Linked DNA regions of Tribolium castaneum. Each later gene encodes a partner of the first gene's protein in a complex. Links are inferred from orthologs where the notes say so. Each region holds a gene or a part of one and is shown in the gene's direction. Other genes may lie near its edges. The genes, in order: eIF3b and eIF3l.

Region 1 (11,546 bases):
TGTGTTATTTTTACGTTTAACGAGTCTAGTGCGATAACTTTCTGTTAGTGTAATTTATGTTACGGTTGTGTATGAAGGAGCGTTTCATAAATTTTAAACTTCGAATATTTGCTGCTCGTTGAATATTTACATAAAGATCTACGTAAAATATTGCTCATCTTCCTGTTATAGTTTACGGTGTTTTTTAGTGTATTCTTTATAATTGAAACGTCAGAAAATCATGCAAATTGGAAATAATTTAATTATGGTTGATACTTTGACTCTATAAAAACTTATATTAAATGAACTAAATTTTTAATAATGCATTTTAGAAAAAGGAAAAAAATTATAATTTGTCCTCTGAAATTAATTAAATTTACAAAACTAGTTTGGAAGAGAAAGTAGGAGTGAATTAATTTTAGTTCAGATTGTTACCATATGTAAAGATCAGTGTAAATATTAAATAATAAATAAATGCCTTCAAAAGTTGTTAAAATGCTACCATAAAATACTGTGCGATTGTATAAAAATATAAAACGAAAAAAATTCGGGAAAGCATTTTAAAAATGATTAGACACATTCTGTATCATAATTTCCGACTGTCTATGTGTTGTAAAGAATCGCAGAATAAAATGTATCCATTTCTATGGCATATATTAGAAAAAAGCCAACACTTCAATAATTCAGTAAAAAAATTAGATTCACTGATACCAGAGCTGATACCATAAAACTGTCAATACCTTGATACTACGATATTTTCAATACCTCGATTCTTCCGGTACCTCAATACCAACGATACTTAGGTTAGTATTGATACCTTCAGGGTTTTTTTTTTCCAATAAATACTGAAACTTTTAGCATGCAATTGAACGAAACGCAATTCTAAGAGTGATTTTCCAAACCAGTGTATCTTTGTGGGGATGCCCCCAATCTTAATTTTTTTTTATATATTTGGATTACTGAAATGATTTCTACAATGCTTTGAACTGAGAATTCGCCAATTTTGAGACACCTGTAGAGGAAAAGTGTTAATGAATTGTCAGTTTAGTTTTTTTTTTTGCATAAAACCTATTTTTAACTTTGAATTTATTTGTTTCTCTAGATGATAATATGAACTCACACAATTGTCGGTATTATTTATTTATTTTTTAAACATTTTTTCAATGTGACGAGTTTTTCTCGTATTCTAAAATAAACCAGCAGGATGTACACTTTGAAACTAGATCCCTCAATTAGATCCTCCTCCTCAGAAATTAGTTATTATTTTATTTTAAACATTGTTTGTAACCTTGGTTTAAGGGTTGGAAAAAAAATAAACAAAGTTCTATAAAAATGTACTATTACATAGGCAATTCATATACAATATGCTCAAAATTCCTCATGAAAATTTTGTTCACTGTTTTTTAACAAAAAAATAAATTGGTCAAAACTAGAGGTTTTTTCTGTGTAGTTTTAAACGAAACAAACTTTTTTGCTAAGGTTTTCATCAAGTCACAATGTTTTTTACGAAATTTAGGGTTGTTTTCCGGTAAAAATAGAACTGTTGAATTTTTTAACAGTCTTCAAATGGGAATCCAAATATTGGAAATGGATATTTATTAATTTTTTTTAATCTGATTTTAATTTAACACTTATGTATACCCTGGTTACGTCTGTTATATTTGACGGAAATGCTGTACTTTAGACCCTCTATGTAGAGGGTGTTAGGGAATGGCTTAGCAATATTGTGTAAGTGAATTTGTCATGATCAGACGAGTTAAAAACCCTTATATAATTTTTCCAAAAGGTGCGTACTTTCTTTAAAAAAAAAATATTAACCCACCTGTTGAGAGCCACTGGGCTTATGGTAGTTTATTAGCGGTTATTATTATATTTTTTTTTTTCATTAAATAAGGCAACATTTTCATTTGTGCGGAAGGTTCGAATCCCGGTCTTGGCAAAAAAAATATTTTTTCGTAAACTTTAGTAACAAAACACAAATTGAAATAGAAGAATAACGTAGTGAACCAACAAGTTATTTTAGCTCAGCTGTTTTGCCAATATTATTAGAATTTACGCTAAATTTTATAATTCTAGTTCAGCGGTTCTCAAATTTTGAGAACAAAAGTTCAGAACAAATTCTTTGAAAAACCATGCATTTTTGATTTACATAAATTTACATAAATCTTTAAATTTTTGCTAAGCCATTACCTAACACTCTGTATTTAAATAATAATAAATCATTGGCATAACTAACCTGATCTTTGATTAAATTTACCGTTTCTTTCAATTTTTTCAAACAAAAAGTTACAAATTTTATTTACTAAATACTTAATGGTACAGTAGCAGATACGGAATTTTGAGCACTTCTGTCACTTCGTAGTCGAAAGGTATGGAGTATTCCATACGTTTAAGTCAACGAAATGTCATAGGCGTCCAAAATTTCGCGTCCGCCACTGCACATATTATTTGTATTATGTTCGAAGGTTGGCAGAACTGCACTGAAGTTAAATGTGGTATTACGTTAAAGCTTTGGATAAAACAAAAAAAAGTATGTCAATTTTTCACTTTCAAAATTGAGACATTACCAGTTGGCTTAAAAATCCCTAAATCGATTAAAATAACAAAAAGTGCAAAATGGGGACAAATTACACAAAACAGTATAAAAAAACTCGTTTCATAAAACCTTGAAGTACTTATTCTTTAAAACTGAATTCGTGCTTCAAGACTGGTTTTATGAAACTTGTTTTCTAATATACTATTTCCACACAGATATTTTTAAGCTTATTTTTTACAAATGTGAACCGTGTACACTTTAAAACCTGACTTTTTAGTAAAAAAAATTAAATGTCTAAACTCATGAGTTTATATAATTTTTTGAAAACACTTCTTAACTAATTGTTGCAGAACTGGCCAAGAAAAGCGTTCTTTCAACCCTGAAGGCCCCTCCTCATGGCCGATTTTCCGCTGGTCTCACGACGACAAATACTTCGGACGCGTGGGCAACGACGTCCTCTCCATCTACGAAACCCCCTCGTTCGGTCTCCTTGAGAAAAAATCAATCAAAATCAGCGGCATCCGCGACTTCAGCTGGTCGCCCACCGACAACATCGTCGCCTATTGGGTGGCAGAAGACAAAGACGTTCCAGCCAGCGTAACCCTCCTTGAAATCCCCAACCGCAACGAAATCCGCAAGAAGAACCTCTTCAACGTCGCCGATTGCAAAATCCACTGGCAAAAATCTGGCGATTATCTATGCGTCAAAGTCGACCGTTACTCGAAAGTTCGCAAAGAGAAAAATGAGACGAAGTACAGCGGAATGTACTGCAACTTCGAGATCTTCCACATGAGGGAAAAACAGATCCCGGTGGATAGCGTCGAGAGTAAGGAACCCATCCAGGCGTTCGCTTGGGAACCGGTCGGATCGAAGTTTGCGGTCATACATGGAGAATCGCCGAATATTAATGTCAGTTTTTACGAAGTGAGAGTGGGACAAGCCCCAATTCTGCTTAAAAAGTTCGAGAAAAGGGCGTGTAATCACCTGTTTTGGTCGCCCGGAGGCCAGTTTATTGTTTTGGCGGGGTTGGGATCGAATGGTGGTGGATCATTGGAGTTTGTTGATACGCACGAGTTTTTGGTTATGAATACGACGGATCATTTCCAAATGTCGGATGTCGAGTGGGATCCGACGGGAAGATACGTCACGACGTCCGTTTCGTACTGGAAAACCAAAGTTGATACAGGTGGGTTTTTGGCTTTTAAGCTTGATTTAGAAATTGATACCGAACCTCTGTAATTTGAAGTATTGTTGAATTGAATGAATTATTCTTGCGGGGGTTTTCCCAGATTATCGTTTTTTTTTTTGGGGGGGGGCATAGTAGAGAGGGGCAGTATATTTTGTTTGTTTTTTTGTTTATTACTACCAACGTTTTGCCAGTTTTTATGAGGGGGGCTTCTTTAGGGCAATAAATAATTAGCAAACCATTCGTGCAGAAACAACGAGGAGGGGAACTATTTTGTTTAACAATAAATAAATAAACCAAAATAAATTGCACTGTGTCTGTTATCCTAATAAATAATTAAATCTTACTCAAATTAAACTCACAACAGACGATGAACCGTGAATCAAAAAAACTAATAACATTTTTAACCAAATTTGGTTTTCAGCTTTTGGGTCAATTAACAAAATCCGTTATTTTCGAGGTGCTTTTCTAAACGAGCTCTCAGAAAATAAAAGAAAATTTTGAAAATTACTGAATAGGTCAATTTTTATTAACAAGGGGAGACTTTTTGGTGCACTTTTAAAGCACTTTCAAATACGAACACCCTAAAAAGATTGAAAAGCATGATCTCAATTGTGATTCCTCAAATGAAGGGTATGTTTACTAGAAAATTTGCTGTCTTGTTTTTGACTTTCAATTTTTTTTATTTTACATGTACTCTGAAAGTTATAATGAATAAACAAACTTGACAAATTTTTTGTCAAGTTACGTAAAGTATCATTAGGTGAATTAGTCACATGTTTAAAATTCAAAACATTTAACAAAAATGTTTATATTAAAATAGTATAAATCATAATTTTAAAATAAAACGACCTTTATATTAAAGGAAACAAGACAAAGTGGAGGCTAATAATTATAAAATTCATAACAAATACTATTCTACTTGAACATGGATACATGACATCTATTGGATAACTAAAGGTTACGGAAAACAAAATAAAAAATAATAAAATCATATAAACTAAAGATTAGTTTGAAAGATCCTAATCATGATATTTATGTCTTAAGGAAAATTGATTAAGCAATTAATAAAGTAAAACCGCGTCTTCTATCGAAGATTATAAAATAATAGAGGTAAAAAATTAAACAGATTTAAAATTTAAACGACTGAAAAAACGAGAGAAAGAAGTCGAGACACAAGCCAAACATTCATATTACGTAAAAAAAAGTGAAGATATGATCGAAGATTTAAATAAAATTTGATCATTTAGAACTTGTTGATTAAAAAATGGCCTTTATTGCAAATATGAAAGTTTCTGACATTGTAGAAAAAAGGAATGACCGAAATAAAGGTAAAATCGGATGGAGTGTTGTGTATATCTGTATTTTTGTATTTTCTATTGTGCTCGCGTTTTCGTGTTTCTGGATGCAATCCTTCATCAAAGAATTCAAGGCTTGCACATTTTAGTGTTTTATAGAAAATGGGTTATATTTTCAGCTTTTCTAGCTACACCCATTGCTAAGATTTTATTTAACTGCGCGTATGATTATTAATTATTATCTGAAAAGTAGGTGATTTTTTTGTTTTTTCATATTTTTTATTGTTCTTACAGATAAAATAGACATGTACAGCACTTATGTTTCGTATAAAATAATTACAAATTCATTAAAACAGACAAAAGAGGATCACAGAAAATAACAACATTGCATGGTTTGACGAAGACACATTTAACAGCGCCTGAGTTACCCTGAAAAAAGTTGGTAACTCGACACATTTCATCGGTCAAGTTTGTTTTAGGAGCTGTTAAATTGTAATTAAGCACTGGAATACGCCAAATCAAAGTTAATTTTGTTTTACCGTTAAACATTTTATTTGTTCAAGAGGCACCGCACTGTGCGGTGTTGAAATTTCACAAGCCTTTTCCTTAAAAAAGTTAATTGTTTTTGGCGCAATTTCGAGAAATTGTTGCATTTATTGCTGAAAAACATGTCTAAATTTTCGAAAAAATTGGGGTTTTTCTAAAATGGGCTGAAACATTAAGAAACAGAAGTAATGCATTTTTTGACATAAAATGGTGGTTTCTTTTCTAAAAAGGATAAAATTAACGCCACTTTAATGTAATTTTAACTAAAAATTGACTTAAAAAAGGGGAAATTCAGCAATTTTTTCGAATAATTTTTGACCCAAAATAATCACGTTTCTGACTGACACTTGAAATCAGAAAAATAATCTCATTTTTGATCTTATTTCGGCCCGGTTAATATACTTACATGCTTAAAAAACAAAAAGATAACACTCCTTTAGACATAACTTGGTGATTTTTTGGGTTTTTTATCGAACTAATAATTCCGGTTTTTGCTGAAAATGGTTCTAAATTTCTTTGAACACACGAAAATGACGTTTTTATCTAATTTAGGATTTTTTTTTGGATATGTTTATCAAAATATTACAGGAAAACTATGGATCAAAAAGCAAAAATAACACTTTGGCGATTTTTTGAATGATCTTAAACAACGCCTTGTGAAACAAAAACGTTCCAGACTAAAAAATGCACTGAATAACTAATTTTTCGTCCTTTTTTGTTGAAATTTAGCAAAAAACTTTATTTTACAATACAAGTATAAATTTTAAAAAATGTTAAAAAAATAATAACTCAGGTTGATGTTATTATGTTTTTTTTTTATAGATTCCGACACAAAAACATACAAATTTTAATTCATCTAAATCCTCTTAAAGTTAATCTAACTTAATTTACTTACAAGGACCTTTTTCGTTTATATTGAAAATTGGTCTACTTCGTGAACGATTTTGAGAATTAAATATTTTCATTTCAAAATCATTATCGGAGAATTTTTCTTTTCAGGTTATTGGATTTGGTCGTTCCAAGGAAAAATCCTGAAACGTGTTAATTTGGAAAAATTCGCCCAGTTGTTGTGGCGTCCACGACCTGCAACTTTATTGTCTGAAGAAAAGCAGAAAGAAATCAAAAAGAACCTCAAAAAGTATTATCCACAGTTTGAGAGCAAAGACAGAATGAGACAATCGAAAGCTTCAAAGGAACTTATCGAAAAACGTGCCGCTTTAATGAAGGAGTTTAACGAATACAGAAGTAAAAGGATTAAGGAATATAACGAGAATAAGCAAAGACGACTTCAACTTAGAAATAGTGAGTGTTTTAATTTGATTTTGTAGTTGTTAGTTACCCTGATTTTTTGCTGACACGCTGATTTGTAGTGTGGTTAGTTATACGCTCAGGGGAAATTAAAACATGTTTTTGCGTTCAGTTACAGTTTATTTAACTGCAAAAACATGTGACAATGTTTAATTCTAATTGTTTTGCAGTTTTTTTAACGCTTGATTTTTTCCAGATATTGATACCGATGAATTAGATGCCGACCCACAAAACGTAGAAGAAGAAATTGTAGAATTCTTTATTAAAGAGGAAACAACCATTTTGGACTAAGACAATTGAGGTTGAAGTGTTGGTTCCTGTGTGCATTCAACGTGTGCACGGGATTTATAGTGACTGTGAATTCATAAACAGCCTTAAATAAGAAAATTTACACCAATTTGTTGTGTTTTATCTTATTTAGTAGGTTCTCGTTCAATCTTTTTCTGTTGTCAGCTGCCATTATATTTTAATTTTTTATTCTATTTAGGTGGGTCAATTTTAACCATGTACGATACTAATCTCAACTGTCTGTTGGTTATTTGGAAAATAAATTTTCATATGACAAATGTTTTTTTTTCTCTTCCTAAACTCACCACAAGTGGCGACATCTAGCCTTTTCGTAACTTTATGATTTGTTGTCTAAGGACTATATAAAATTCTAGGTTCGTTCCAGCAGTGTTGTCATCAATTTTCTCATATACAAGTCTATAAAAATGTCAGCAGAAGTAGGGTCACTATGATTTACTAAGCAGTGGTGCATTGCTGCCAATATAAAAATGCTGTATCAAGTTGTCGGTGTGATCCGGGACACGTGCTGCTAAAGAAAATAATAAAACAAAATACATAAAAGGTTGATCGGTTTTATTGCGCGTAAAAGATACTTTTGGATACACGATATCCTTGTGTTGCACGATTTCGGAAAAATGTGTTTGTGGTGCGAGTTTGAGTGGTGGAAAATCGATGCGATTTGTTGTAAAATTGAATTTTGGCTGAAATTGTGATACATGGGGATGGAGGCATGACAGTATAAGCAGCACGTTTTTTATGCGCTTTTGTGAATTGGATGTATAATAATAAAATAAAGAGTCGAAAATGAGAGAATTTTAAAAAATTGGCAACTTAGCGCTCAATTTAAACAAATTAATGCCAATCTTCGAAATGTATGGTTGCTTCCTCCATAATTGCTATATGAACTGCCTTTTTTGATATTTTTGGAGCAAGATGTTTATTTTTGCCCGTAACTTATTTATACTTATCTAACTATTTATACAGCCTGTTTTTATTATTAAATTAAATTTTTATTATCAAATATTTCAACGATGCTGAATCTAATACTTACGTTATTATAATTACACAATATACGACGTTACAAAGTTATTTATCAGACTTATCACCAACAACTTTGTGACAAATTTTGTCACTTGTAAAGTTTTTTTTTAATATACTCTACAACATTTTGAAATTAATTTATTCTTGCTGTCTAATTTGGCACTCGCTATTTCTGTAATAAATTAACTGTTAAACATTTTATTTGCTTTAAAATGCCAACAAATGAATGTATTTTAAGCCCAAATAACTTTTCCTATGTTTGTGATAACATTATCATAGTAAACTAAAGCGATGAAGATGGTGAAGATTTAAAGATCTTATGAAAAGAGGTAGGTATATATCAACATTTTTATGATACTAAATATTTATGTTAGCCGATTTTTGGTGGTCTACATTACAACAAACGCTGATAGTATTAATTCGAGGCAGTCTGTGACATTTGTGATTTAGCAAAAATTATATTTTATAATCAATATTTAAAAACTTGACGTCCTAATTTTAGTAGTAATAAACTTATAGTTAATTATTCTAAAAGTAAATTTATAAGTCTGTAAAGCTAAAAGAAAGTCTGAAAAAACTAAATAGGTTTAGACTAAAAAACATTCATTGCATAGTTGAGAACTCGGCCGAGAATTAATAAATAGTAGATTATGTTATTATTAGTAAATGTTATGGCTGGTCGATACCTCTATTTAGGTATATACAAGGTGTATCAGAAATACGTGTGTTAATTTTACCACATACAACAACTTTTCTATACGGGGTGTTCCGTTTTTATTGTTACAAATTTAAACAGAAGATAGAACATTCAATTTTAAGACAGAAGTTTCCTATAAGCATGTATCGAAAAATATTTCGTAAGGGAGCTATTTGGTATTTTGGTATTTTATTCCTTGCTATTTTTCATACCGACTTTTCTTATGAACAAACAGCACAGAAAGAATTCCACCTGGTGATAATGACACATAATATTTTCAAACGATGTTTGTTTGTAGTTTAAAATCGATTCTATATTACAAATTCACCATCAAAAAACAATAAACGAATACAGTTCGAAAGTATCAAGTATCGAAGGTATCGAAGTATTGCAAGTATTGAAGTATCGGAAATTAAAAGTATGTATTTTGATATCTGCTAAAGTATCGATACTTTATGCAAAATTTTATCCAGCCGTAGTAAAAGTTATACTTTATGTGAGGAACCTTAACGTTTATTTTGCTGAGCCACATAAATTCACCTGTATTCCGACGACGCATACGTATTTAGATAAATTGATAAAGATCGAGAGAGTTTTTTTTAATACCTTGCTGTTGTTTGTGTCGCATAATGTGGATTCTCGGGAGTATATGTATATTCCCACACATACTGTCACATACTGTCTACACTTTGTTAAACATTCTTTGTATTCTCATACAGTACCTTGTAAAAGATCGTTTTTTATTCGTTTTAGTGTGAGGAAGTACAAATTACGTAGATTCGTAAAAGTAAAAATGCTTAGGCGCAAAAGTAAAACTTTTATCTGTGAGATTTTTTACCTCATCATTTCCACATCAGTGGAAATTTTTAGATTTGCAATTTGTGGTGAATGTAACATTTTAAATTAAAAAGATTGTCACTCAAGGAATAGGTTTTTCATATTTCGAGACGTTTGTGTACTTTTAACAAAGATTTGTTTATTTGTATTAATTGTTTATCGTTTGTGAGTTTTTTAGGTTTTTCAATTTCAGACTACTTCTTTATAGGAGTTTATTGCAACTGAAACTTTCTTTTTTAAAACAATTTTAATAAACATAAAACATTGTTGTAGTTTAAGCAACCTGGATTTTGTAGATAATCTAAAATTTAGGTCGAGCATTCATTCATAAACTTGAAAAAACTTAAAAATCTAAATTTAATAAAATCAATCACAATCAGAACTTAGTGAATTTTCAGAATTGAGTATCCGTTGAAATGAGTACCCGTTGCATTCGGATTTAGAACTTAAACTATTTTAGTTGCACCCGAAATTAAACTGAAAAGCCTAGTAGTACTGTATTCGAAATTTTAAAAAACCTTAACCGAGCAACTTAAAAATATGTAAAAAAAACTAGAAAATCGTAATCTAAAAAAATTAAAATTTTCAAGATTTTGAAGAACCAGAACTCAGAAATACAGGGTGTTTCACATAATTTTACGAGGCCAAGCCTATGTACATATTCCGATACGAACTGGACTACAACTTAAAAAAAATTGGATAGTCTTCTTTAGTTTGTTTATAGTTTGTTGATAGATAGATTAGAATCATATTCATTCCGTCTCTTGAAAGATCACATGATAACTGTTTCAGGAAAATAGCATTTTATGACTATTAATAAACCAGTCATTACTTATTAGTTTGACAACTACTGTTATGGGTTTCCAAAAATTAAATAATTAAATGCGAATTTTTTGTATACAATGTTTTGTGACTTTTGTATATTTGGGTTCGTACATTGGGCGCAGGCCTCGTAAAGTTATGTGAAACACCCTTTATTAGATTGATATACCAACTCGTATTTTCCGATTTATGACCAAAGTTTATTTTTTTAGTTTTAGTTTTTCCAGGTAAATTGCAGCAATTTTTAATATTCGGTGATTTTTATATGAATTAATTAAATTACTCCATTCGCAGTTCAGTTAATTAATGCGCAAATAATCTCGAACTAGCTAATCCAAATCCCTACTAAAAAATTAAAGAAACTTGAAACAAAATAATTAAAACATTCAAACACAAATAAACTGAAAGCCCGAAGGATTTGACCTGTAAACCTGAAAATCCTTTAAAAATGTATCTACATTTTTAAATAAAATTTTCTTTGTCAAATTTAAAAAAAATTAGTTAACGGCTCATAAACTTAAAAATTTGAGTTTGACTTTGTTCCAAAATATTTTTTCAGTAATTGTTTTTCTCTTTGTTAACCGCAAAATCTGATTACGACCCCGTTGATTCGAACCATAATCCGAATGATTGTTATCTTGTCAAAACTTTTAGTTTCTCCACTGGTTTTGTTTCACTCAGACCATTGGTGATTTCGTCATCAACTTTAAAATGTTTTTATCGTTATTGTTTTCAATTTCAAGCTACCTCGACTTGCCTCGAATAAAATAATAAACAGAGTTGCTTTTGCCGTTTAGCTCCCGGCCATTATCCTTGTCCGGGGAAAATGCAGAAAACGGAGTGATATATCCGGAACAAAATTGTCGTTGAAGGGCTTTGTTTATGCGACTCACCGGTAAAAAGCGGCTCGCTTATCTTAAGATTTCGCATTTATGGGACCTCCTCGTCGCGGTTTATGGTTGTTTTTATGAGCGGGCCCTAAGTAGGCCTCTGTACTGCAATGGGTAG
Region 2 (12,330 bases), on another chromosome or scaffold:
TTTTTTGAGGCGATTTCCATCGCTGCTACATCGAGCATTTGGTTCAGAACGTCACGGTTAGTGGGGCCGATCACCGGGGGCGGTGGAACCCCGTCGAAGGTGCCCCCATGCACGCACCCGTCGGTGCAGTAGGGCGTGCCAGGGGGGCACCGCTGCGCCCCCACGGCGTGCAAGTAATACAAGATTTTCGGCTCTTGCTCCTTTGTTATAACATGTCTGGGCGAATGCCCGGCATTGTTCAAAATATTCAAATCGACGCCGAAAATAATCAAGCACTGGATTATCGATATGTTGCCTTGTTTCACAGCTAAATGAATCGGTCGGTTGCCTTCGGCATCGCCGATATTTGCGTCTGCTTGCCGACTCAGTAAAGCTACAACGCATTCGAGGCGATTTCTCATGACCATGATGTGCAAAGCGGTTTTTTTGTCGAAGTTTAGAGAGTCTATGTGGCAGTTCATGTCGACTAGAGCTTCGATTACTTCGCGGGAACAGGCCCAGTGTAAAGGGGTGCCCCCCATTTTCATGTCCTCCTTGTGGAGGCTGTTGGGGTGGCTTTGGAGGTAGTCGCCAACGTAGCCGGGTAGGACGTTGTCGTCTATTAGACCTGAGGTTTTGTTTACGTCGGCTCCGGCCAGAAGGAGGGCTCGGACGCAGTCGGGTTTGTCCGCTTGGCAGGCAAGGTGCAGTGGTGTGTAGCCGTTTTTGTTGCGGGCGTTTAAGCAGTTTGGGGGGCTGCCTTGCGTCAACGCCTGAAAATGTTACACCCTGTAGTATTTCGTTTCAATTCTTTATTCAACTTTTGTAACGAAACAGTGATAATAAAACATTAAGTAATAATTAAAAAAATTTAATTGTGTTATTTAAAACTAGAATCTGATATTTACAACGTAAAGTGTTAGTAAAGTTTAGTGTTTTTTGCGTTACCTATTTTGTTTTTTTATGAATTAATTATTTGTGCTAGATAATCACTTGTGATTAAATAACTACAGAAATAAAAATCCACAAAGTTTATTTATGGAACATTTTTGCATTTATATATTTTATTTTTATAATACGTTAAAATTCAATTAATTTTTTTTAAGTTTGTGTAACATTTCATCGAACCAAAGAAAGGCCCTAAAATTACAGCGAGGAACATTGTAAATTTTACGATAGATCAATTAATTGTGTCTCTAAATTGATGTGGAACTAGATTTACTATTCTGAACTATTTTCTTAACAAAAATTCTTGGAAAGAACTTGAAAAATGAAGGAATATAACTACGGGTCTGTATTAAAAATTGATAAATACTTTGAATATTTGTTGTCCTAGATTAAACTACATAATAAGTCTGGACGAAAAAAGCTAACGTTTAAATGATGAAAAAATATACACCGTTCACGATTGTTTTAAATTCGGACTATCTATGAAAATCTGACATTTTATTTGGCAGTACTGTGAGTTGTCATAAGAAATTTATTTTGGGTTATAATTGATGACAACCAAGGACTGTTGTCAGTTTGCTTCGTTTTTTAAATAAATAATTGAACACGTTTTTATTGTAATTCTACTCAGTATCATTAGTTAAAAAAGTCGGGTCTGTCTTTCTTGCATCCTTCAAAGCATCTTTTGATACAAACTTTCTTATCAACAAAAATTATTTTCGACATTTTAAATTAATAAGCAGTAGAACTGACAACACAGCGAATTTTTGACAAGACAACGTCATAAAGACAGTACCTGACAGGACCTGAGGCCAACCTAAGAAAAATATATCTAGGCCTGCTGAGAATTTAAAACAATCGTGAACGAATAATAAGTACAGTATTATAAAAATGACAGTAAGTCATAAACAATCTCTCAAAAATCTCAAAAAATTGTATTCTTTAATAAAAAAGAAAAGAAAAGGCTAAAGAAGAAGTTTTCATTTGATTTTTAAATAATCAAATAATTTTTATACAAATTATTGTTGGAGTTACGCTTGATTTTTCATGAGAATCAAATCCAATGAAATAACTATTTATATACCAAGACAGGAAAAACATCGATTCTTCCCCGAAGATGAATTAATATTTAAAGGGAGAAAAAAGGCGCTTTCTCCAGTGCTATATATGTTTTTTTTGGCGTCTTCATCAAAAATTATTTTTTTCACCTTCCAAATATTCTATGATAGAACGTTATTTCCTCCCGAGAGAGGAAAATGAGGGTCGTAGGTGGGAAATGACGTACTTTCATGAAATATTCGGAGAGTGGAAAATGATTTTTTCACCAAAGATATTTATAATTTTTCAGATTGGTTTTGTTATATTGATTTATTTAATTTTATAGTACTGTGTATGAAAACTATTATTTATTTATTTACTTTATTACAAAATTATTTTTTTAAACAGATTTTACATTTATTTGTATTCTTCAGTCTACGGAGTTTAAGCAAGAAACGCTTTGTTCCAAAGCTTTGTTTCACTCTGTAAATACAGACGGATTCAAGTTGTTGCCAAATTTTTAGAATCAACAGAGAAAATGAAAAATCGTTCTACTTCTACGTGAATTCTATTCGTTTTCAACGTCAAAACCACTTCTATAGAAAAACTTATTTATCTCTAATCGTAGTTTGCACTTTCAAATTATAAAAAAATGTGCTTACATCGAAAGCAATTCAATTATCTCAATGTCTAAAAATATTAATATCTTGATTTTCTCAATTGATTCTATAAATTTGGTAAACAAGACTTGAATTACTCTCTAGTATAAATAGTTTTTAGTAGCCTTTTCAACTACTTGATTCACTCACATCGTTAAAAGACTAAGTTCCACTTTCAAAATTAGCTAGCTTCAAGAAAGTAAAAATTTGCTTCAAAATCGTCTGAAAAGTTTACAAAAACAAATTGAAATAAGAGAAAAACGTCTTTAACAAAAAAATTTTCAGTAATTTTCTTTACTGTTACTCATGAGAAAAGTATTACTCAAAAAATTGTCCGTGCACCATTCTTATAAAAAATGCAAACTTGTTTTAGCATTTTACAAAAACATATTCCTACAATATAGCTAATTAAAGCAGTGTTGTCTAAAAATTAAAAAACCGAATTTGTTCAAAGGCCTTCTAAATCGGAAGTTTGATAGAAAAGTAACGGATGATATTAGGATTTTTTAAATAAAATTTTAAACAATAAAAAATTCTTGAATAAATGTTCATTTCGCTATTTATTTATTTGTTCATTTATTTTTTATTAATGTTGTACTTTAAAATTAATTAAAATGTTCTTAAACCAACCCATATTGTCACATTTTACGAGTAACCTGAAACACTCGTTGGAAACGTTAAAGCAATGCCTATTAATTGTTTTTCCAATAATGTCCTTATTTGTAATACGAGTACAATCCATTCATTGATAAAATTAGGTTCCCTAAAACTAGTGATTACTTATTAGGTAAACTGATAACTTTGTTTGTCTCTAGTAGGTTTTAATAGAAATAAACATCTCGTAAATAAAATGTCAACGTTTGACCTATGAACTTTATAAATGTGTTCTCGTTTTTTATTATTTACTAGTTCAATGGAATTTTTCTATACTCTAGTGTAATATTTGATATTTTCCACATAACACAAACGAAACAATGCTCAATGGAAATGACCAAGGCCTTTACAAATGTTAAACTAAAAAAAGGTATTTAAAATCGTCAGAAAAAAATCTTTAGAATTCCTTATGTACAACTTTTCCGTATCTAATTTTGCACAATTCAATACTTACGGCAATGATATCTTTGGTGGTGCTAGCGGCGTAATGGAACACCGAATCAGAGTTGTAATCGAGATGTTCCAAAGACGCATTCGCAGCAACCAAAACTTGCACCGTCTTCAAATTCTTCGTGGTAATAGCAACTTGTAGTGGCGAGATCCCAGTTTCATCATCAGTACTATTCAAATAATTGTTAATCTTAGAGTCTTTAAAAGAATCATAGAGACTAAAATACGCCGCCAAATGGGCCAAGTTCCAAGAGGGGTGTTCCGCAAGAACGTCACAAATCTTTTGCAAACCTTGCACATTATACATCTGAAATAAAATTCCAAATAATCGTCTTTTAACAACTACAGCAAATTACTTCTTTCGAAATCTCAACAAACGTGGGTAACTTATCCTTCAAGACACAAAATTTCACTTCAGCTTCGTCAAGATTTGGCGAGCGGTATAAACTAAAAATTGATTTTTTTAACAGTTGACGTGTTCGGGGGCACAAACCTGTAGGTTTGGTGTAGGCTTTCCGTGTACGGGCGATGGAGCACAATTTCGTAAGTGGCCCCTTTTTTCTTGTCAACTGTATTAGCTGGGAGGTAGAGGACCAATCCATCTTCCCGTAGGTGAATCGCTCGGTCGGAAAAAGCGTCTGATTTGGCGTCAATCACTTTGGTTGGGGCGGGTTCTGAACTGAGGAAGCTACGTAAAACTGCAAAATGAAGAATAATATTTGTACCATCACAAAGCAGGGGATTACCACTTGTAAATCCTTGGGCAAACATTTTATTACTTAATATCTATTCATACGGTTACGAACACTAATCACTCACTGAGATTGACTACCGATCATTGTGTTTTATTTAAGAAATTTGTGATTTCATAGTTCAAGGTTTGTTCGAACGAGCAATTGGGGAATGAGGTTAAATCACCGGCTCAGTAAATTTGCATTTAGATTAACATCATGTTTATTGATCGTTTTATTTTAAAACATTTTTCTCACTTACTCAGCGGAAATACTTTTGAAAATGAGAAAAAAATGGAATTTCTTGCACCACCTCGAGTAGAAACCTGTAATTTGTAATTGTCAAACGTCAACTGGCTTCGAGGTTAAGTGCAAGACCATTTGCTCGCTATAGTGGCGTAGGCATATAATGAGTAAATTCAAAATGTTTTCCGACGATTATGAGCAAGTGAGTGCTTCAAACACCTAAAACTTGAACAATTTATCCTTAAACCTACACTGGGTTCTATAAAACTCTAGTAAAAGCTTTGCAAATTGAACCATGTGTCTCAAGCCTATTTGTAAAAGTGTGGAAATAATACCGACCTACATGTTTAGCATGCACCATTCCCATAATTCGTGGCAGCAAAATTGACAATAAATTGGACACTGATTTTCATTTATTTCAGGGTTATGAATACAACAGCTATGATGAGTATGGGGCTCACACAGGAGACCCCAACTTGGACAACGAGTACAATAAACAGCACCTAAAGATGCCGGAAATAGTCAAAAACTTCCTAATCTATTTCCGCAATTGCGTGAATGAGGGTTTAATCTTTGAGTTGCAAACTTTGTATGAAACTTCGTGGCCAAAACTAACCGAAGATTATTTCGAGAAACGCCCCTGGCCAGAAGAGTCAGAAGTGTCAGCGCTAGTCGACAGTGATCCCGTGAGTAAATCCATGACTATTTTACCTTCCGCCTCGATTTTGTCTTTCACTTGGTCTAGTATTTTACCCCCAGTTTCACTCTCCTGGACATCCTTAATTTTTTCCTTTACGTGATCAATTATTTTACCTTCTGTGCCAATGTCTTGGACGTCCTTGATTTTCTCCCTAACGTGTTCACTTTTGTCTTTGAGTTCTTCAGAGATTTTCTCTTTGAGCTCTTCTTTTTTGCTCAGGAGTTGCCTTTTGTAATGCTCCATTGCGACTGTTGGAAGCAGTAGCAGGGAAAAATGAACATAAATGGGTTTTATTATGTCTTTAGCAAAAGGACACGTCAGAAGCGACCTAATTACAAAGAAATCGCTCAATATCTATGATTCTTTGATGTCTATTGATTGTAAAGTTTTTGCTTAAATATTTATTTACGCAGCATGGGCGAAAAAAATTGGTTTAAAATAATAATAAATACGACTTTTGGTTTTGGACTTTAATAATGCGATGAATAATATTAAAATAAATAAAAATAAATAAATAAAATAAAAATAGATTTAACGACAAAAAATAAACTTTGAATAAGGTGCTTACAAGGTCATATCTTTTCTAATACTATACAGTTTCGACGAAATTCTAAATTTCATTTCATTTAAAGGTAATCGATTTCAAAATAAATAAAACAGCTTTTTCCTACATTTTTTTGAATTAGGAGTATACCAAAGTCAATAATAGACAAATACATTTCCAATAATATTTTTTCTCGAGGCTTGAGACTTCTTGAAATAAATCATAAAATTTGCTTATTAAACGAATTTTTGTTCTATAAATAAGTAAAACGCTTAACCAAGTAAATTGCATAAACAAAAAAAATTATGTTATAATCAACTGAATTAACAGAACTGTCTTCACAATTTACTAAAGAATTAACTTTGAGTATTTACCAACGAAAATTTGAATACAAAGTCTTAATTAGGCCCAAAAAAATCGTGAGAATCTTCAAAGTAGATTATTTGTTGTCCTTAAAAACTCATGATAAGATAAATAAATTGAGATCTCAACGGGAAAACTATTCAACTGTTCGTCTCTCTTTTGAAAAATAAAATATGCTTTTAAAAATATAAGAAAATCAGTGATAAATCGTAATAAATAGACGGTACCTCAAGCATTTTCCTAAAAACAATGTTTAAATTAAACCTAGGTACAGAATTTTGTTGCATAAATAAGTAAAATCGTTAATCAGTCATTTAGTTAACAAAAAAAAAAACATGTAATGAACTAAATTAACCAGGAACTACCTCCACAATCTACTAATCATATTTCTGTCAACTTCTATTTTCAAATGGCCTATCTTTTTCAAAAAGATAGTAATATTTAAAGTGATGAAATTAATTGAAATGAAAATCGTTATAAGTAATTGATTACCGACTGGACGCGTATTCGCCTAATAAAAATTGAGTTTAAAATAAGTATAAAAATCTGTGAATATTTTCGAAAGAACAAAAATATTTACTCATAATAGAAATATTATGAATGATTTTTTTACGGATTCAGGTAATACTGAGGGAGTGTATACCAAATACAGCGTGCTCAAAAACTGGCGCACCAACTCAGTGGTGTGTGGTAGAGAACTGGTTACATATAAAGGTAAAAATAGTAAAAAAAATCTTTGTATTACTGTTATTGATAAATAACTAATTTTAGGTAAATGATATGTGGCAACGTTGTCTAACAGTCATGATTGCAATAGAATTTGAGCAACAATAAAAATAAATTATTTTTGAAACGGTTTCCTAGGAAATAATTCCCAGTGTTGGCACATCTACACATTGTGATTTTTTGGATGAGTTTTAATTTTTTTTAATTAAAAAAACTGCTAAAATCTGATAGTAAATTTTAAAATAATTATTCATTGTATTGTTACGGAACGATAACCTGGTATGAAACATAGAAATATAAAAAAATAATGAAAACTAAAGAAGTTAACACAATAAGTTTGTAGCTCCAGATTTTTTAAAATATAACTTTAGAAATTTATTCAACATTTTTCCCGTAATCTGCACTTGCTTCTCAATAACGTACCACTGAGTTGGTGCGCCAGTTTTTGAGCACCCTGTATATAAAAAGTAGTGAGATTACGGACGGGACACAAAAATTTATCTTACGTAACAATTTTATTATAACATGAAAACTTTAACCAAAATAAAAAAACAACTAACAGTCATCAAAAAAAGGAACACCATTCTTGGGAAATTAAATTACGTACGTTTAACAATTAATATTTTGTCCCAAACCTATATATAATTTTTGAATTGTATTTCAGTTATTTGACACTATTTATAGGAACATAACTTCCAATTTGAAAACGCTTGATTTTGTTCACGTATAGAATTCTCTACCATTATTAATTATTAATTTTTTGGGTTCAATGATTACAAATACGTGAAAATTATTATTTTCACTTACTTCTTGCGGGAAATATCCTATGCAACCCTTCTTGCAGGTGTTCATGATCCTGTACAAAGAGCTCTACTTCCGCCACATTTACGCGCGCATTCAAGGGGGCCCAACCCTCGAGCAGCGCTTCAATTCGTTCTACAATTACTGCGACCTCTTCAACTACATCCTAAGCGCTGACGAACCGGTGCCTCTAGAACTCCCCGACTTGTGGCTATGGGAATTAATCGACGAATTCGTCTACCAATTCCAATCATTCGCCCAATACCGGGCCCGCCTTCAGAAGAAAACCGCCCAAGAACTGGAGACTCTAAACTCGCACAATAAAGTGTGGAACGTACTTTGCGTTCTGAACGTGTTGCATTCTCTGGTCGACAAGAGCAACATCAAGCAACAACTGGAGGTTTGCGCCAGTGGGGGCGACCCCGATTCGGTGGCCGGCGAGTTCGGGAGTCACTCGCTCTACAAAATGTTGGGCTATTTTTCCCTGATTGGGCTTCTGAGGCTTCACTCTCTGCTCGGGGACTACTACCAGTCGATCAAAGTGCTGGAAAACATTGAGCTGCATAAGAAGTCGCAGTATGCGCACATCCCGGCTTGCTTGATCTCAACGTCGTACTATGTGGGGTTTGGGTACATGATGATGAGGCGCTATTCTGACGCAATTCGCACGTTTTCGTCCATTCTCTTGTACATTCAGAGAACCAAGCAATTGTTTGCTTCTAAAAGTTATCAGCACGACCAGATTAACAAGCAAACGGATCAGATGTACCACTTGTTGGCCATTTGCTTGGTTTTGCACCCGCAGTGTATCGACGAATCGATCCAGCAAACTCTGAGAGAGAAAAGCTACCATGAGAAAATGTACAAGATGCAGTATGGGGACCTCCAGGAGTTTGAAAATTGTTTCGTTTTCGCTTGTCCTAAGTTTCTTTCGCCGTGTCCTCCGCCGGTGGATTCCATCCCTGATGATTATTCGAAGGAGGCGATCCGCCACCAAACTCAAGTTTTTATGGACGAGGTCCAGCAACAAAAAATGTTGCCAACGATTAGAAGTTACTTGAAGTTGTACACCACTTTGCCCATTGCCAAGTTGGCGACTTTCATGGCGCAGAATAAGAACAGTGAAGGGAAGTTTGATGTTGATAAGGAGACGCAGAATCTTTTGATTCATTTGTTGTGCTTCAAGCACAAAATGAAGAATGTGGTGTGGTCGAAGGGCTCGTCGGGGCTGGAAGGGAAGCTGGAGAGTGGCTCAGAGGTAACATTTTGTAATTTTTGGTTTTGTTTCGTAAAAAAATATTTCAGCTGGATTTCTACATCGATAATGATATGATTCATATCGCCGACACGAAAGTGGCGCACAGATACGGCGATTTCTTTATAAGGAAAATTCTCAAGTTTGAGGATTTGAACAGGAAGCTTCACAATCTTAAATTCTAATGTAGAATTCGGTGTAATTTTTGCACTCAACGAATAAAATTGCTTAAAATAACTGTACTTTTCTTTTTTTCCTTAGCCACCTCAGTCACCTTTGTCTATACAAATTTGGAACAGGTATTAAAAATTTCACCTTATCTTTGATCACTATCATTTAACAAAGTTTTTTATTGATGCAAGATAAATCAATTAAACCTCTTTTATCTTTTAAGTATCATTGAGTTTAATTAGGCATTTATATTCAGTTTATTATTCGTTTGCAACTGAAATGGATAAATAGTTTATTACTTAATATTTTTCTAACTTTTTGGAAACACTAGTGAGAAAATTATTTCTCAACAAAAGCGTGAACGCAAAATTAGACTTTTATAAAAAATAATAAACAAAATTGTTTCCTTTTCCCTCACAGATTAGTTTAACTTTATATTAAATATTTGTAACCGAATCGATTAATTTATTTTATTCTTCGACACTGTCAAAATTTACGGTTTTTCTCCTGTGTAAGGAAGTTTTGACAACTGTTTGGCATTTCTCAGTACGAAACGTCAGATTATTTTTAACAAATTTAAAGCAATTTTAAGCCTTGCTGAGTCTATTTCGAAGAATAAAATGTTGTATTCAACTCGTTTTTGTGTAAATCGGTTCATTTATTTCGCCTCGTGGATGATAAACCACTCGTTTTCACTCGTGGTTTAAAAATCCACTCGTGAAATAAAGCGTCCGATTTACACTCAAACTCATTAAATAAATAACTATTACAAAAAAAAATTAAGTTGAAATAGAATGCCTTAGCAACGCACAATTTTGATTCATTTGCTTAGATTTAAAATTTTCCGTTTTGAAACTTTATTTAGAGAAACATTTTTTGTATAAAGAAACACCGTCTTGTTTCCGAAAAATACATAGAAAAAATTCGAGGCTTTGTTATCAGCAGCAGCAATCACTCGTAGTTGTGACTTAATACTTGAATGCGAAATTTTTATTGTAAAAATTCTCTTATCACTTATTGTAAAAATGTTGCATTTGACAATGATTTAGCATTGCTCATGTAGTCACAGTTCTAATTTGTGTAAAATTCGCTCAATGAACAAGTATTGCAAGTTAGTTTCACGTCTTAATCAACACATGCGCATAAAAGATATTTTAAAATTTTTTGCGCTCAGAAGTGAGTATATTTTATTTTTTATGAAATAAGTGCGTTCCATTCGATTCGAAAACAGTGGCAAAGAGATAAATAAAACATGAGTCATTTGCAATTAGAATTGGTCAAAACACGTAACTGCAAATTTTAATTAACTTTTTTAATAATCTAATAAGTAGTAGATAAAAATCACGGTACAAAATTACTCATGCGCTCTGCTGATTATGTATTCTGCATATGCTAACACGTGACTACATACCTCAGTGCTACCACAGCTTCGTGACTTTATTTCAACATGTCTGAAGAAATAGCACAAGGTACAATTTAACGTTCGTTTCCTTTACGTTTCGTTGATGTTTTGACTTTAAATCGTGACAAATGTCTGGCTTTAAACCTCTGTGATTTATCCTTGTAATGCCTACTGTCTGTATCACTTGTCTGTCTGAACTGGGCCCAAGGATGGACGTCTTCACTATCATCAACTTCAACCTCATCCAGCCACGTCTTGTACCTCATCTGGAATATTCTAAATCCCTTTTGGAAAAATCCACTTTGCGATAATGTATTTTCCTACAAATTAAAATTGCAATGACAGTAAATCTGAAGTGGCTTAAGTGATAAAATCTTGAATGGAAAAATAATCACCTTATCATTTGAGATATCTTTGCACTTCTTTTTAAAATCGTGCAAACATTCCATAAACTTCTTATTCGGCTTCACGTTCTCTCGCAAACTAATTTCCATTATTTCAAGTACGTAGGGGAAGTTTTTGTGGTAGCAAGCCTGGTGCAGCATCGCCCCCAAAATTTCAGTATTTAGCCTAAAGTTATAAAATAGTTATTTAATTAATGAAATCGTCAAGTACTCAAATATCATTATTTAGGTCCAGAACCGTCCACAAAATGTTCAATTTCAATTTTTTATAAGAAATTATATGACTTCCAAACACTAAAGTAGTTGAACCAAAATTACAGTCGAACAAAGTGAAAATTACGCCTCAATAAACCAGTTCCTGCTGGTAACATCCTTCAGGAGTCAGTTTACAGAATGCGAAATTAAAATTTAATTCAGAATTAAATTAAATACAATTAAGTTGCCATTTATTTTGCACTGATTAACGTCAAGTTAAATTAAAATGTAAATTTTTTAGTGAAAAGTTTAACAACCATGTCATCATTTTTTTCTGTCTTATCGGTTTAACTTTATTCATCAATGTTTAGTCAGGCGTCATTTTCATTTTGTCCGCCTGTACACTTTATATAATCGAGTAAATCTGCTAAAAATATTTACTGTATCTCAAAAACTAATGAATACACAGAAATCAGCATTTATTTAATTTAATTAATTAAAAATATTACTAGGGTGTTAATAATTAGTTGAAATTTTAGTATCTTTAGTGTCAAATGAACGATTCTTAAATGATGTTTTGAGGAAAAAATACGTAAAAAAATTGGTTTTGTCCCCAAATTAGATAAGTAACGTAATTTTGATTAAAGGCATGGTACAAAAAATTTCAACTTTACGGGCTGTTTAAAAAAAAAGTTTTATGTTTGAGCTACCTATATGAGTGTGCTTCCATTTCTTTCAGTAATTCTAAAGCCTCTTCTTTAGTTTTACAACCCAGCGATAAAACCCCATACGTTATCAAATTTGGTCGATAGTTATATTTTTTCATGTCGTTCAAAACGGCCTAAAATCATCAAAATGAGACAGGAAATTTTCATTTTATTTATTCCTGCCTTTGCGCTTTCATAATCAAACCGCATACTCCTCTTCTTAATCAACATATTGAAAAAGTCAATGTCCGGCTTAACCCCAAGTCTTTTCATTTCTCGTAAGAGCTCTTTCTCAGCAGCTTCACTTCCAGGTAAGCAGTCCAAAAGTTGGGTAAACGACTTAATATCAGGCGTGCA

Evidence for each region.
Region 2: eIF3b (region 1) and eIF3l share a complex: the UniProt entries of both Caenorhabditis elegans proteins name them as parts of the eukaryotic translation initiation factor 3 (eIF-3) complex. The link is inferred for Tribolium castaneum from reciprocal best matches to the Caenorhabditis elegans genes eif-3.B and eif-3.L.

What each region holds. Positions count from the first base shown.
Region 1 is NC_087399.1:10,625,604-10,637,149, forward strand, and holds the end of eIF3b (eukaryotic translation initiation factor 3 subunit B), read left to right. Parts: intron 1-2,865; coding exon 2,866-3,701; intron 3,702-6,544; coding exon 6,545-6,847; intron 6,848-7,049; coding exon 7,050-7,144; 3' UTR 7,145-7,419; downstream 7,420-11,546. UniProt on the Caenorhabditis elegans protein: RNA-binding component of the eukaryotic translation initiation factor 3 (eIF-3) complex, which is involved in protein synthesis of a specialized repertoire of mRNAs and, together with other initiation factors, stimulates binding of mRNA and methionyl-tRNAi to the 40S ribosome.
Region 2 is NC_087394.1:32,521,854-32,534,183, reverse strand, and holds eIF3l (eukaryotic translation initiation factor 3 subunit L), read left to right. Parts: upstream 1-4,784; 5' UTR 4,785-4,868; coding exon 4,869-4,907; intron 4,908-5,044; coding exon of another isoform or gene 5,045-5,072; exon of another isoform or gene 5,073-5,127; coding exon 5,128-5,391; intron 5,392-5,518; coding exon of another isoform or gene 5,519-5,648; exon of another isoform or gene 5,649-5,903; intron 5,904-7,882; coding exon 7,883-9,097; intron 9,098-9,144; coding exon 9,145-9,279; 3' UTR 9,280-9,331; downstream 9,332-12,330. Other genes in the region: iPLA2-VIA (85/88 kDa calcium-independent phospholipase A2), read right to left, coding at 1-752, 3,733-4,035, 4,085-4,175, 4,222-4,426, 5,519-5,648; pentatricopeptide repeat-containing protein 1, mitochondrial, read right to left, coding at 10,742-10,987, 11,063-11,237, 11,977-12,107, 12,157-12,330. UniProt on the Caenorhabditis elegans protein: Component of the eukaryotic translation initiation factor 3 (eIF-3) complex, which is involved in protein synthesis of a specialized repertoire of mRNAs and, together with other initiation factors, stimulates binding of mRNA and methionyl-tRNAi to the 40S ribosome.